Linked DNA regions of Macaca mulatta. The protein of the gene in region 3 binds, or shares a complex with, the protein of the main gene of each other region. Links are inferred from orthologs where the notes say so. Each region holds a gene or a part of one and is shown on either strand. Other genes may lie near its edges. The genes, in order: CDH26, CTNNA1 and CTNND1.

Evidence for each region.
Region 1: CTNND1 (region 3) and CDH26 share a complex: the UniProt entries of both Homo sapiens proteins name them as parts of the cadherin:catenin adhesion complex. The link is inferred for Macaca mulatta from reciprocal best matches to the Homo sapiens genes CTNND1 and CDH26.
Region 2: CTNND1 (region 3) and CTNNA1 share a complex: the UniProt entries of both Homo sapiens proteins name them as parts of the cadherin:catenin adhesion complex. The link is inferred for Macaca mulatta from reciprocal best matches to the Homo sapiens genes CTNND1 and CTNNA1.

Annotation. Positions count from the first base shown.
Region 1 is NC_133415.1:112,781,711-112,785,361, reverse strand, and holds part of CDH26 (cadherin-like protein 26), read right to left. Parts: coding exon 3,561-3,651; intron 1,848-3,560; coding exon 1,608-1,847; intron 294-1,607; coding exon 72-293; intron 1-71. UniProt on the Homo sapiens protein: Cadherins are calcium-dependent cell adhesion proteins. They preferentially interact with themselves in a homophilic manner in connecting cells; cadherins may thus contribute to the sorting of heterogeneous cell types.
Region 2 is NC_133411.1:147,648,374-147,652,024, forward strand, and holds part of CTNNA1 (catenin alpha-1), read left to right. Parts: intron 1-759; 5' UTR 760-761; coding exon 762-866; exon of another isoform or gene 867-921; intron 922-2,015; exon of another isoform or gene 2,016-2,041; coding exon 2,042-2,237; exon of another isoform or gene 2,238-2,259; intron 2,260-3,651. UniProt on the Homo sapiens protein: Associates with the cytoplasmic domain of a variety of cadherins. The association of catenins to cadherins produces a complex which is linked to the actin filament network, and which seems to be of primary importance for cadherins cell-adhesion properties.
Region 3 is NC_133419.1:15,586,367-15,590,017, forward strand, and holds part of CTNND1 (catenin delta-1), read right to left. Parts: intron 3,077-3,651; coding exon 2,923-3,076; intron 2,047-2,922; coding exon 1,978-2,046; intron 529-1,977; coding exon 401-528; intron 299-400; coding exon 148-298; intron 1-147. UniProt on the Homo sapiens protein: Key regulator of cell-cell adhesion that associates with and regulates the cell adhesion properties of both C-, E- and N-cadherins, being critical for their surface stability.

The DNA.
Region 1 (3,651 bases), on a different chromosome or scaffold from region 3:
AACCCCATACCCTTGGCCTATTGCCTGGGGAGAGGAGCCATAGTCCCAGGACACCCCTACAGACCACTGACCTGCCAGAGCCACGAATGCTGCACAGACAGGGGACAGGGCCCCCACAAGAAGCCCCACTCCTGCATCTGCATGCTCCACACACGTGAACCCACTGGCACAGGGGCAGATCCTTACATGGACAGTTTGCTTCTGGGAAAGTCCCTGTTTGTCTCCAATGAAGAGTGGCACCAAGTAATTACCACGTGGCAGGCTTCTCAAGGTTAAAAGTTCAACTGACTGACCTGCAAAGGGAAAAAGAACATGGCATGCATCGACTCACTCATCTGCTCATCTGCTCAATGCACGCTTACTAAATGCCCTGCACAGGCCAAGCTCTGTATGAACGTAAGCCAACTGCAGAGTTAGAGGGAGGGGTCCCCAAGGGCACCCTCACTTCTGACACCAACTGCAAGTTCATGGATTCCCAAGACCACCCTCAGGTTCAACAATTCTCTAGAAAGACTCACAGAACACACTGAAAGTTGTTACAGCGATGGTGCCGTTTTTTACAAGGAAAAGATACAGATGAAAATCAGACAAGGAAAGAGGCACCTAGGGCAGAGTTCAGAAAAGCACCAATGTCAGAGCTTCTCATCATCCTCTCCTGAGAAGCCAGGTCAGCATCAGTGAGGGACAGCACACATGGGATGCTGCAGTCAGGGACGTTCACCTGAGCCTCAGGCTCCAGTGTCCTCCTGGGGCTTGGTCAGGAAACCTGGTGGGCCTCCCAGGTGGGTGGCCTCAGTCTCCAACCTCTCTGGTAGTCAACTGACACTATGTGACTAGAAGTCCCCAATCTAAATCACATTGCCCCTGTCTGGCTCAGCTCAAGACACCCAGGTAAAGAGACACCGGTATCAGACATGATATCCCAATAGAGATCACCCAGACCCCAAGGACAAAGACCAGACCTCTCTTTGGGCAAGGTGAAGTTCTTCACCATACACTCCAGGTCTGAGCTGAAACCGTGCCACAGTCTACAGATGCCATGGCTAGAGGCACAGAGGAGAGTGTTGACAGAGGGTGCCAGTTGCTTTTAACCTGCTCAGCAGGTTCATCTTCTGATAACAGTGCCCCAGTGTTTCTTTAGGGAAGCCCACACTTCCCAAATTCTCAGTATGAATCAGGAGAGGCTGAGCCCAGATCCCAACAAGGTCCAGGTGTGGGCTGGGAACCAGTCAATCAGCACGTCTGCCCTCCTAAGTCCCACCTACAGTGATTGACAGGGCAGCTGACCCAGGTCAAACTGTGACATCAATCCTGGAGCTTCCTGGGAAACACCCTTCTTGCCAGATGTTAGGATATGTCTCAGGGACTCCCAGCAGCCTCCTACCCCCTGATGAGGAGAGGTTCCTAAAAGTGAAGGAACCCAGAGAAAAGCAGACCGTGTGTGGGAAGGTGGCTTCCAGGGATATCCTTTGAGCACCTAGAGCCAGCTCTGCCAGAACAGACTTCTCTGGCTTTTTAAGCTAATAAAGTCCTTTTTTGCCTAAAACTGTTTCAATTGGATGTCTGTCATTTTCCACTCTTTGCCCGTGACCAGTACAAAAACTCACCCCAATTTTTCCCCAACTTCCATGTGTCCTCTGCGTTTCGCAGGGTGTTGTCCAATTCAAATGTAAATGGATCAGAGAAGGGCTCCAGGTCCGGATCCTCTGCCTCGATGTGGAGGGGCTGATGCACGGCAGACTCACAGACCTCCATGTAGCGGGAATGTGGCCGGAGAGTCGGGGCGTTGTCATTGATGTCAGACAGGAAGAGCATTAGGGTCCCTGTAGCAGTCTGCGGGGGGAAGCCTTGTACGGGGAGGAAGTTTCAGGAGTTGGTTATCTCGTGCACACAGAGCCCTGGAGAAGGAGCACTCTCCGTCTCTCAGAAAACAAATATTCCTGAAATACTAGAACTGTTTCCCTTTCAAATCAACTCTCCTGGCATGCATGTGATGATCTATTTTCCTGCTTTTATGAACATTCAGAATATCTGGGTAAGGTAAGCTAATAAAGCACTTACCACCTCAAATCATTTGTAGAACAAGGTAGAATGTGGCATCATTAAACAAACAAAAGGTCGATCAATGGTGCCAGGCGTTAAGGATGGGTGGGGTGGAGGAAAATGGGTGTGACTAAAGAAGGGCCCCATGGGGGTCCCTGAGGAGAGGCAAATGCGCTGCATCTCCGCGTTGATGTCCTGGTTACGAGATTACACTGTAGTCCTGCAAGGTGTTGCCCCTGGGGGAGACTGGCAAAGGATACGCAGGATCCACTAGATTATTTCTTAAAACTGCAAGTGAATCTACAATTATCTAAAAGGACTTTTTCTAATTTAAAAAGTGGCAATCATCAATTCACAACTGCAAATAGGAGCCAACCTAAGTGCCCATTGACCAATGAGTGGATAAAGACAATGTGGCATATGTATACTATGGAATACTACTCAGCCATAAAAAAGAATGAAATAATGTTTTTTTGCAGCAACTTGGATAGAGCTGGATGCCATTCTTCTAAGTGAATAACTCAGGAATAGAAAACCAAATACTGTATGTTCTCACTTGTAAGTGAGAGCTAAGCGAGTGATATAAGGAACTCTGGAGACTCAGAAGCAGGGGAGGAGGGAGCCAAGGGATAAGAAACCTCACACTGTATACAAAGTACACTACTCAGGTGACCGGTGCACTAAAATCTTAGACTTCACCACTGCATAATTCATCTACGTAACCAAAAACCACTTGTACCCCAAAAGCTTTTGAAATACGAAAAGCAAAAAATAAACAGAAAAAAAAAAGAGTACCCATTATAAAATCATCCATAACAGAATGAGGGAGCCCTGAAACACTGGCCCCACTTTTTCTCCTCCCTTAATACTGATTAGGAATCCGTGTTTCCTATCTCCATTGCCCCCCACCCCCAATATTCCACTAGTTAATTACAGAGTGGAACGTACAGCGACATATCACTTGGAGCTTGGGTTTTAGTTCACAGACTTTCTTAAATACAGTGTTAAAGTTATTTGAACATTTTTATTTCTTCAACTTTGTTTTGGTGTGTTTAAAGATTCAGCCTTAGGAGAGCATAGAGAAAAGTGCTGAAACATGCTCATAAAACCTCCCATCCTGGTTGATGACAAATGTGTCCCTTACTGTCCCATTTACCTGAGCTCGTATGCCATCCCAAGCACAGGGAAGCTGTGCTAAATATCACACACCATCGGCTTTGACAAAGAGCTAAAGAGTTAGCTCATGAACAGATGAAAAAGATGTTGGGTTTGATTGCAGCCTCCTTGCTGATTTAATTGTCTCCTCTGAATGAATACTGCCCTCTTTCGATGGTATTGGTCCCTTGTTTACCATTTCGAGAATTACTACCAAAAATAATCACCAGCATGGATGCAGAGTGATAACAAGGTTTATTTTATCCTTTTCTCAGCTGTGCTGAAAGACTCTCACCAGGATTACTTTCCCGCAGGAAGCAAGAATGAGCATTTTATTTTTCCAATTTTGGGTAAACACTCACCATCATCAACAGCGTGAACAATGATTATATAAAAACTGTCATTGACATGAGGGGATTCTCGGTCAATTGGCTCCACGGTGGTGACCACTCC
Region 2 (3,651 bases), on a different chromosome or scaffold from region 3:
ACTATACCATAAATGTTGTGGAGTAGGAAAAATCAGGATCTTCTGTATTCGTTTTTGAAGCAATGTCTTTGAAAGTAGCTTTCGGCTGGGCGTGGTGGCTCACACCTGTAATCCCAGCACTTTGGGAGGCCAAGGCGGGTGGATCACGAAGTCAGGAGATCGAGACTATCCTATCATGGCTAACATGGTGAAACCCTGTCTCTACTGAAAATGCAAAAAAATTAGCTGGGCGTGGTGGCGGGCGCCTGTAGTCCCAGCTACTTGGGAGGCTGAGGCAGGAGAATGGTGTGTACCCGGCAGGTGGAGCTTGCAGTGAGCCGAGATCACACCACTGCACTCCAGCCTGGGCGAAAGAGTGAGACTCCGTCTCAAAAAAAAGAAAAAGAAAAAAAAAAAAAAAAAAAGGTTTACTTTAGCTTTTCATCTTGTTTCTAAAAGATTGGGCAGATAAACTGAGTAGGAACTGAAGTAGGAAGTCTTGCGCTAGAGAAGCCCAAAGGGAAACGTTCTGTGTGTTTGGGAATGCCCTCTTGTAGTACCCCTAGTATTTGTAAGCCTGAAATGATTAAATTTTAAGAGATTGTAAGGTTTACTGGGTCCTCATGTGCAGGCTAGTTAGAATTTTTTCATCTGTAGTGAATGTAACTTTCCTGATGCAAAAGTCCCAAAGTAGGAGAAGATTTAAGTAGGAGAAGATTTGTTACATATTTCATGTTTGTGTTTGATGTTTGCTTGACTGATTTTTTGTTTCTTTTTTAGAAATGACTGCTGTCCAGGCAGGCAACATAAACTTCAAGTGGGATCCCAAAAGTCTAGAGATCAGGACTCTGGCAGTTGAGAGACTGTTGGAGCCTCTTGTTACACAGGTAAGAATCTGAAAACACAAATACATTGTAACCTGGTTCTATAGTACAGGCCTGGGTAACAACCATAAGAGCAAGGTTATTTAGTTCAAAGCCTTAATTCCAGTACTTGAGTTTAGGTGACAGTTCTTAGATGATTTGAATATTGATGCATGAGTTTGTTTAACCCTTTGAGAACGCTGCTGTGGTCATTTTCTTCGGTCTTATTGCTAGTAACTGGGGTCCGTGGTATGTAGTGCAACTTTGCAAATGTTTGTGCTTTGCAGATACTTCACCTTTCTTTAGAGGGGAAACCCAAGAAAGGTGGGATCTGGATCCTTGATTGTTAAGGTGTCTCACTCTGCTTAACACACCTTTCATTGTGTGGGATTAATTAGCAGGTAATTGAACTTGAGGGTTTAGGTTTGGTATATTATGTTATAAATGTCACAATGTTAGGGTAGTTCATAAACTGTTAGCAACTAGCTGTGTACCTTTAGTGTTTTGCAATAGTGTGTCTGTTGTCTGTATGTGAGAGATTCAGAGAGAGAGAGAAAATGAGTCTTGTTTGGCAAATTTGCACTGTAACATATCTTAATCATCTTTAACCTACAGATCATCCGGTATTATGTGTATTAATGATGGTAATGTTCTAGGACATAAAGCATCATCACTGTAGGCTTCTTTGGGCAGTCATTCCTTTATTAGGGGCCTTTACTAATAAATTGCTGAGATTTGTGTGAATAAACCGTGAAAAGACTTCAGAAGCAAATTATCTTAAAACATTTTGCAAAGTTTGAAAACAGTGGCAGTACGATCTCCAGATAAAGCTAAGTTCATTGTTAACCTATTTCTGGAACATAGAGTGTTCCAGATACTATATGGGTGACATATAGTAGAGACATCTAGCTTGTCTCTAATCATTTTTTAATTTGTAAAATCAAACTAAAAACCTAATGATCATATTTGAGAAATTAAAATATGTGTTAAATAATTCTGTACACATTGAGAAAGCTGAGTTATTTTGGAAATTAAATATAGTATCATTGCTGTATATCTTAAATATGGGGAATTGTATGTTAATGCTCAGTGGAATCTCATAAATGTGATTTTTTTAAAGAATAACTTAATCTTGCTATCTTTAAAGATATTAGTCATTTTAATTGACTCCAGTTTAATGTTAAAAATGAAACTTTTAGGTTACAACCCTGGTAAACACCAATAGTAAGGGGCCCTCTAATAAGAAGAGAGGTCGTTCTAAGAAGGCTCATGTTTTGGCTGCATCTGTTGAACAAGCAACTGAGAATTTCTTGGAGAAGGGGGATAAAATTGCGAAGGAGAGCCAGTTTCTCAAGGAGGAGCTTGTGGCTGCTGTAGAAGATGTTCGAAAACAAGGTAGGTCATTACTGCTTTTCATGTAAAGAGAGGCAGGCCTTTCTAGAAAATAAGTGTTTGAAGGAGATTTTTTTTGTGGTCAGTATTCTCAGTTCTCATGCTTGCCAATTGCTCAGTAACTTACTCAGTTATTGGAGATGTATTAACTTGGACTGGATCATATTTTAATTCTCATTCTCATGCTTGCCAATTGCTCAGTAACTTAGTTATCGGAGATGTATTAAGTTGGACTGGCTCAAATTTTAATCATGAGAGATGCTTGCAAAGGGACATCTGGAGAATCTGAATCCACTTCTCTTGGGTGTTTCAAGTAATAGTTAAGTCTTAGAAATGTTGTAACACAATTTGATAGGAAACGTGGGACAGAAGTTTACCTTTCATTCTATGTAATACTTTTTAATTCATGCTGAAGAGATGGGTGTGATAAAATAGAAAAATACCTACTCTGAAAATACTCTAGAAATTGTTCTGTTATGTCAGATTAGTATGTTAAATCAGCCATGCATATTTGCACTGGTTGGAGCTTGACTTAAATAAATCTGGGCATAAAGGAATCATGTTTTGGGAAACTCAGAATTGATAAAAAGTAAAATGGTAATCCACAGTTTACCAGTAATTAATGCTAGAAAAATTGTCCTTACTGTGTTACAAGTGTGGAAGGAAGACTTTAAATATGGAAAGTAAACTTCTCGAAACCTGCAGTTTTTATTTTTAGTAGAGATGGGGTTTCACCAGTGGCTCATGCTGGTCTCAAACTCCCAAGCTCAAACAATCCACCTGCCTCGGTCTCCCAAAGTGCTGGGATTGCAGGCATGAGCCACAGCCCCCACCCTTGAAACCTGTGGTTTTGTGTTAGGTTTCTATTCCAGTCAGAGAATTTCAACAATGCTGTAGGTTTTTTAGGTTATTGGCTATCAGCTAAGGTAAATTGAGCCCTGCTATTTACAGGTGCTCTACTAGCCCTTGGGAGAACTTCATAGATCTTTCATACCTGATGGTAGATTGCATAGTCCAGAGTCTTATGTCAAATTCATCCTTGTGGCAGTACCCTAAAATGGGCAGTGTCTTAGATGGAGATGACATCTCCAGTTGTTTTCTGAATTTGTGAACAAATAACCTTCAGTGGTAAATATTTTTTCAGTTTTCAGGCTGAAGATAAATATTTCTAATACTGAAAATGAAATTATTAGAATTCCACAGTACTAATTAAGCAGGTATATTAGTTTCCTAGGGCTTCTGTAACATAAACTATGACAAGCTTGGTGGCTTAGAATAATAGAAATTTATTCTCTCATGATTCTGAAGTGCAGAAATCTGAAATCGAGGTGTTGGCAGGCTTGATTCCTTGTTGGGACTTAGGAAGAATCTGTGCATGCCTTTTTCCTAGCTTCTGGTGGTTGCCAGCAGTCCTTAG
Region 3 (3,651 bases):
CTTACCAACTCTCGCATTCATGAACTATGAAGCGGGGGAGGGTCCTTCCCTTCAGTCATTTCAATAAATTCAATAAATTATAGGCATCTGCTGGACTACAAACACTGTACTAAATTTTGAGGTAATAGTTAGCATTCAACTCCTCACCAATTAATTCTTTGTTGCGAGCATCCACAGCCAGGTTTCTCAGTGCTCCAGACGCAGCTTTCACCACCCGTTCATGTTCATTAGTCAGGAGGTCAGCTATGGCAGAAAGAGCCTTCTCTTGACGCAGAGCAGAGCGGATATATCGACCATACTAGAATAGCACATAGAAAGGGGTAGAACAAATTACAAATGGCAGCAAACTAGTTATCTAAGTTTTCCCATCTCCAAATCCATTTTCTAAAAGGTACTTTACCGTCCAGCGCCCAGCACACAAATTCTGGATAGCTCCAGCTGAGGCTTCTAAGATGGCAGGAGTCTTGCTCTCCTTAAGAAGTGAGATGTATATCCGAACCACCTCTGGCTGAAATAAGAGCTCATAGCCTGCACAAAAGAGAAAAAGAAGGCAGAAGGTGCTAATCAGTACCAATAAACCAGGCTCTAGCTGGCTGGAGTTCAGCCTTAATACTCCCGATTGATGTTCTATACCATCAGGTTCCCTAAACTCTCTCACACTCTCTACAGCAAATTTAGAGGCCAAATTCCATGTCTTAAGAATAATGAGGCCAGGCGCAGTGGCTCAACACCTGTAATCCCAGCACTTAGGAGGCCAAGGCGGGCAGATCACGAGGTCAGGAGATTGAGACCATCCTAGCTAACACGGTGAAACCCCGTCTCTACTAAAAATACAAAAAATTAGCTGGGCGTGATGGCGGGCGCCTATAGTCCCAGCTACTCGGGAGGCTAAGAGCAGGAGAATGGCGTGAACCTGGGAGGCGGAGCTTGCAGTGAGCCGAGTTCACGCCACTGCACTCCAGCCAGAGTGAGACTCCGTCTCAAAAAAAAAAAAAAAGACTAATGAATCCATGGTAAGATTGGAACAAATATCAACTCATTATACTCAACTCCTCTCTTTCCTTCCTTCTTGCCTCCTCTCCCATAGCTTTGCCTTTGGTTCTACCATGAGCGCTCAGGGGCTCCATTTAGCTCATTGACAGCACTCAAGGTTAAAAATTCCTCATCTCAAATCAATTATTTCTAACTTAACCCAGTCATTCTTCCCATCTTTGCAATTACTACGACGGTCCATTACAGATTAAACGTTTATAATTTTTATATCCATGGAGAGCTGTGAACTTTGGACTCACTGTATTGATGAATATAAAGATCCAAATTTCTTATAGTAAAGTGTAAAAATTATCTTTTCTTTTCTTTTGGAGACGAGTCTCTGTCGCCCACGCTGGAGTGCAGTGGCGCGATCTCAACTCACTGCAACCTCCGCCTCCCGGGTTCAAGCGATTCTCCTGCCTCAGCCTCCAGAGTATCTGGGATTACAGGCACCCGCCACCATGCCCAGCTAATTTTTGCATTTTTAGTAGGGACAGGGTTTCACCATGTTGGCCAGGCTGGTCTCAAACGCCTGACCTCAGGTGACCTGCCCGCCTCAGCCTCACAAAGTGCTGGGATTACAGTCATGAGCTGCTGCCCCCAACCTAAAAAGTATCTTTCTTAGTAAAGGAGCTTCTTTTAAAAGTGAGGTTTAAGTCTCAGGCACTGTAGTGGTCATTTATGGTTCCCAAATTTCTGCTCTAGACTACCATCAGGACCTTATTCTATCCTCAAGTAACCTGAATAACTGCCTTAACAAGTAGTCCTTTGTAAGTTACTGCTGTAATACTATACAGCTTCCCAATACTTTCACAATCATTTCAGTCTGTAAGTTGGAAAAGAGAGGACAATAAACATATTACATAAAGTCTGCTGTTAAGTTACCAAATATCTTATCTTTGTACTATGTTTATGAGACCTTTGGAGACTGAGAAGATAACTTACCCCGAGCTGGACTCGTTCTTTTAGGGAAATCCACTGTGTCATTTGCTGGATCCTCTATGGGTTTTTTCCCTATAAAAACGAAAAAGGGCAGGAAAAGGGGTAAGTCAGTTTAAAATAGAAAAGATTCCACCTGGCACATTTTTCATTCTTCGGTCAGAACCTTTTGATCACAGATGCACCACGAGGGACAAAGGGCAGGTGGGGGCAACTTGTTCCAGCAGGGGACTATTCAGAAACAAGGATAGAAAACAGGCAGCAGATAGGTAAGATGAGGATGACCATTGTTGATGCTATTGTCCTGAGCTCTGATAATGGGGACTGCTGCCCAGAAACAGCATGCCATGAGCTATTAGCTCCAAAGAGCTAAACCTGTTTCAGTGTCTTCCTCAACTGAACTTTCCTACATGCATAGACAGGGAAAGGTTAGGCAAGGACATACTAGGGAAGCTAAAACCAAAACATGCAAATTAGAAGTAGATAAGCACCTTAAAAGACTCCACTCACCTCTGGAGAACCACTCATCTTCCAGTGCATCACCCAAGGCAGAAAGCAGAGAAGAGAAAAGAAATAAGAAAAATGCAGGAGAAAGATGTCAGCAGAATCATGGGCAAATAAGCAGGGAAGCACAGAGAAGAAAAGAAAAACACAGAAAATGCAAAGGACGTATGGGGAAGAAGGTCCCAGATTAGTTGAGTTCTCATTTTCCACTGCCCCACTCATTGATACCACCACCACCACCACCATCACCACCAACACACCACCACCATCACCCCACCACCAAACCTTGAATGAAGCACACAACACAGGAGAAGCAGCAAAGCAAAAAGACATCTGTAACCAGGCAGACTCCCATATTGCTTGCCAAGTATTTTGTATCTTAAGCTAAAGTGTTCCTTCCTTTCCCTGTCCCACATTAAAGAGTAAGAAACAGGAACCAAGACTCACCTTTGCCCTTCTTGGCCCCAAAGCAACTGGCAGCATGTGGCCCAGTATTGTTGGCAACATTGGGAGCTGCCTCTTGGTAACGCTCTGCCTGTGGGATCTCCCGGTGAACTTGATATGATAAGTTCCGAAGGAGGCAAACACAGTTTTCTACAAGCTTAGGTACACAAGATAAAAGGGCCAATGAGAAAAAAGAATGTTGTGATTTCTCCACAGGTTTCCATGACTCAGGTATTAAAATGTTGATATTCAAATGCATAACCCAATCCATAACTTCTCAGGATGCCTCTTAAGCGCTCCAGGCTTCTTGAAATCCCTGTAGCCTCAGGCTAATGGAAGGCCCAACTATGGACTTATTGGCTTCTGCCACTATTTGGTGTGTGACTGAAACTTGGATCATCATTCTTACTACTTAGACAATGTACAATTTTGGAAGACAGCTAAGCAGCTTTAAAATATATAGGTGACAGATTTTTAAAAAAAGAAAAAAAAGCTGGGCACAGTGACTCACACCTGTAATCCCAGCACTTTAGGAGGCTGAAGCAGGTGGATCACCTGAGGTCGGGAGTTCAAAACCAGCCTGGCCAACATGGTGAAACCCTGTCTCTACTAAAATACAAAAACTAGCTGGGCATGGTGGCAGGTGCCTATAATCCCAGCTACTCAGGGGCTGAAGCAGGAGAATCGCTTGAACCCAGGAGGGAGAGGTTGCAGTGAGCCGAGATCATGCCA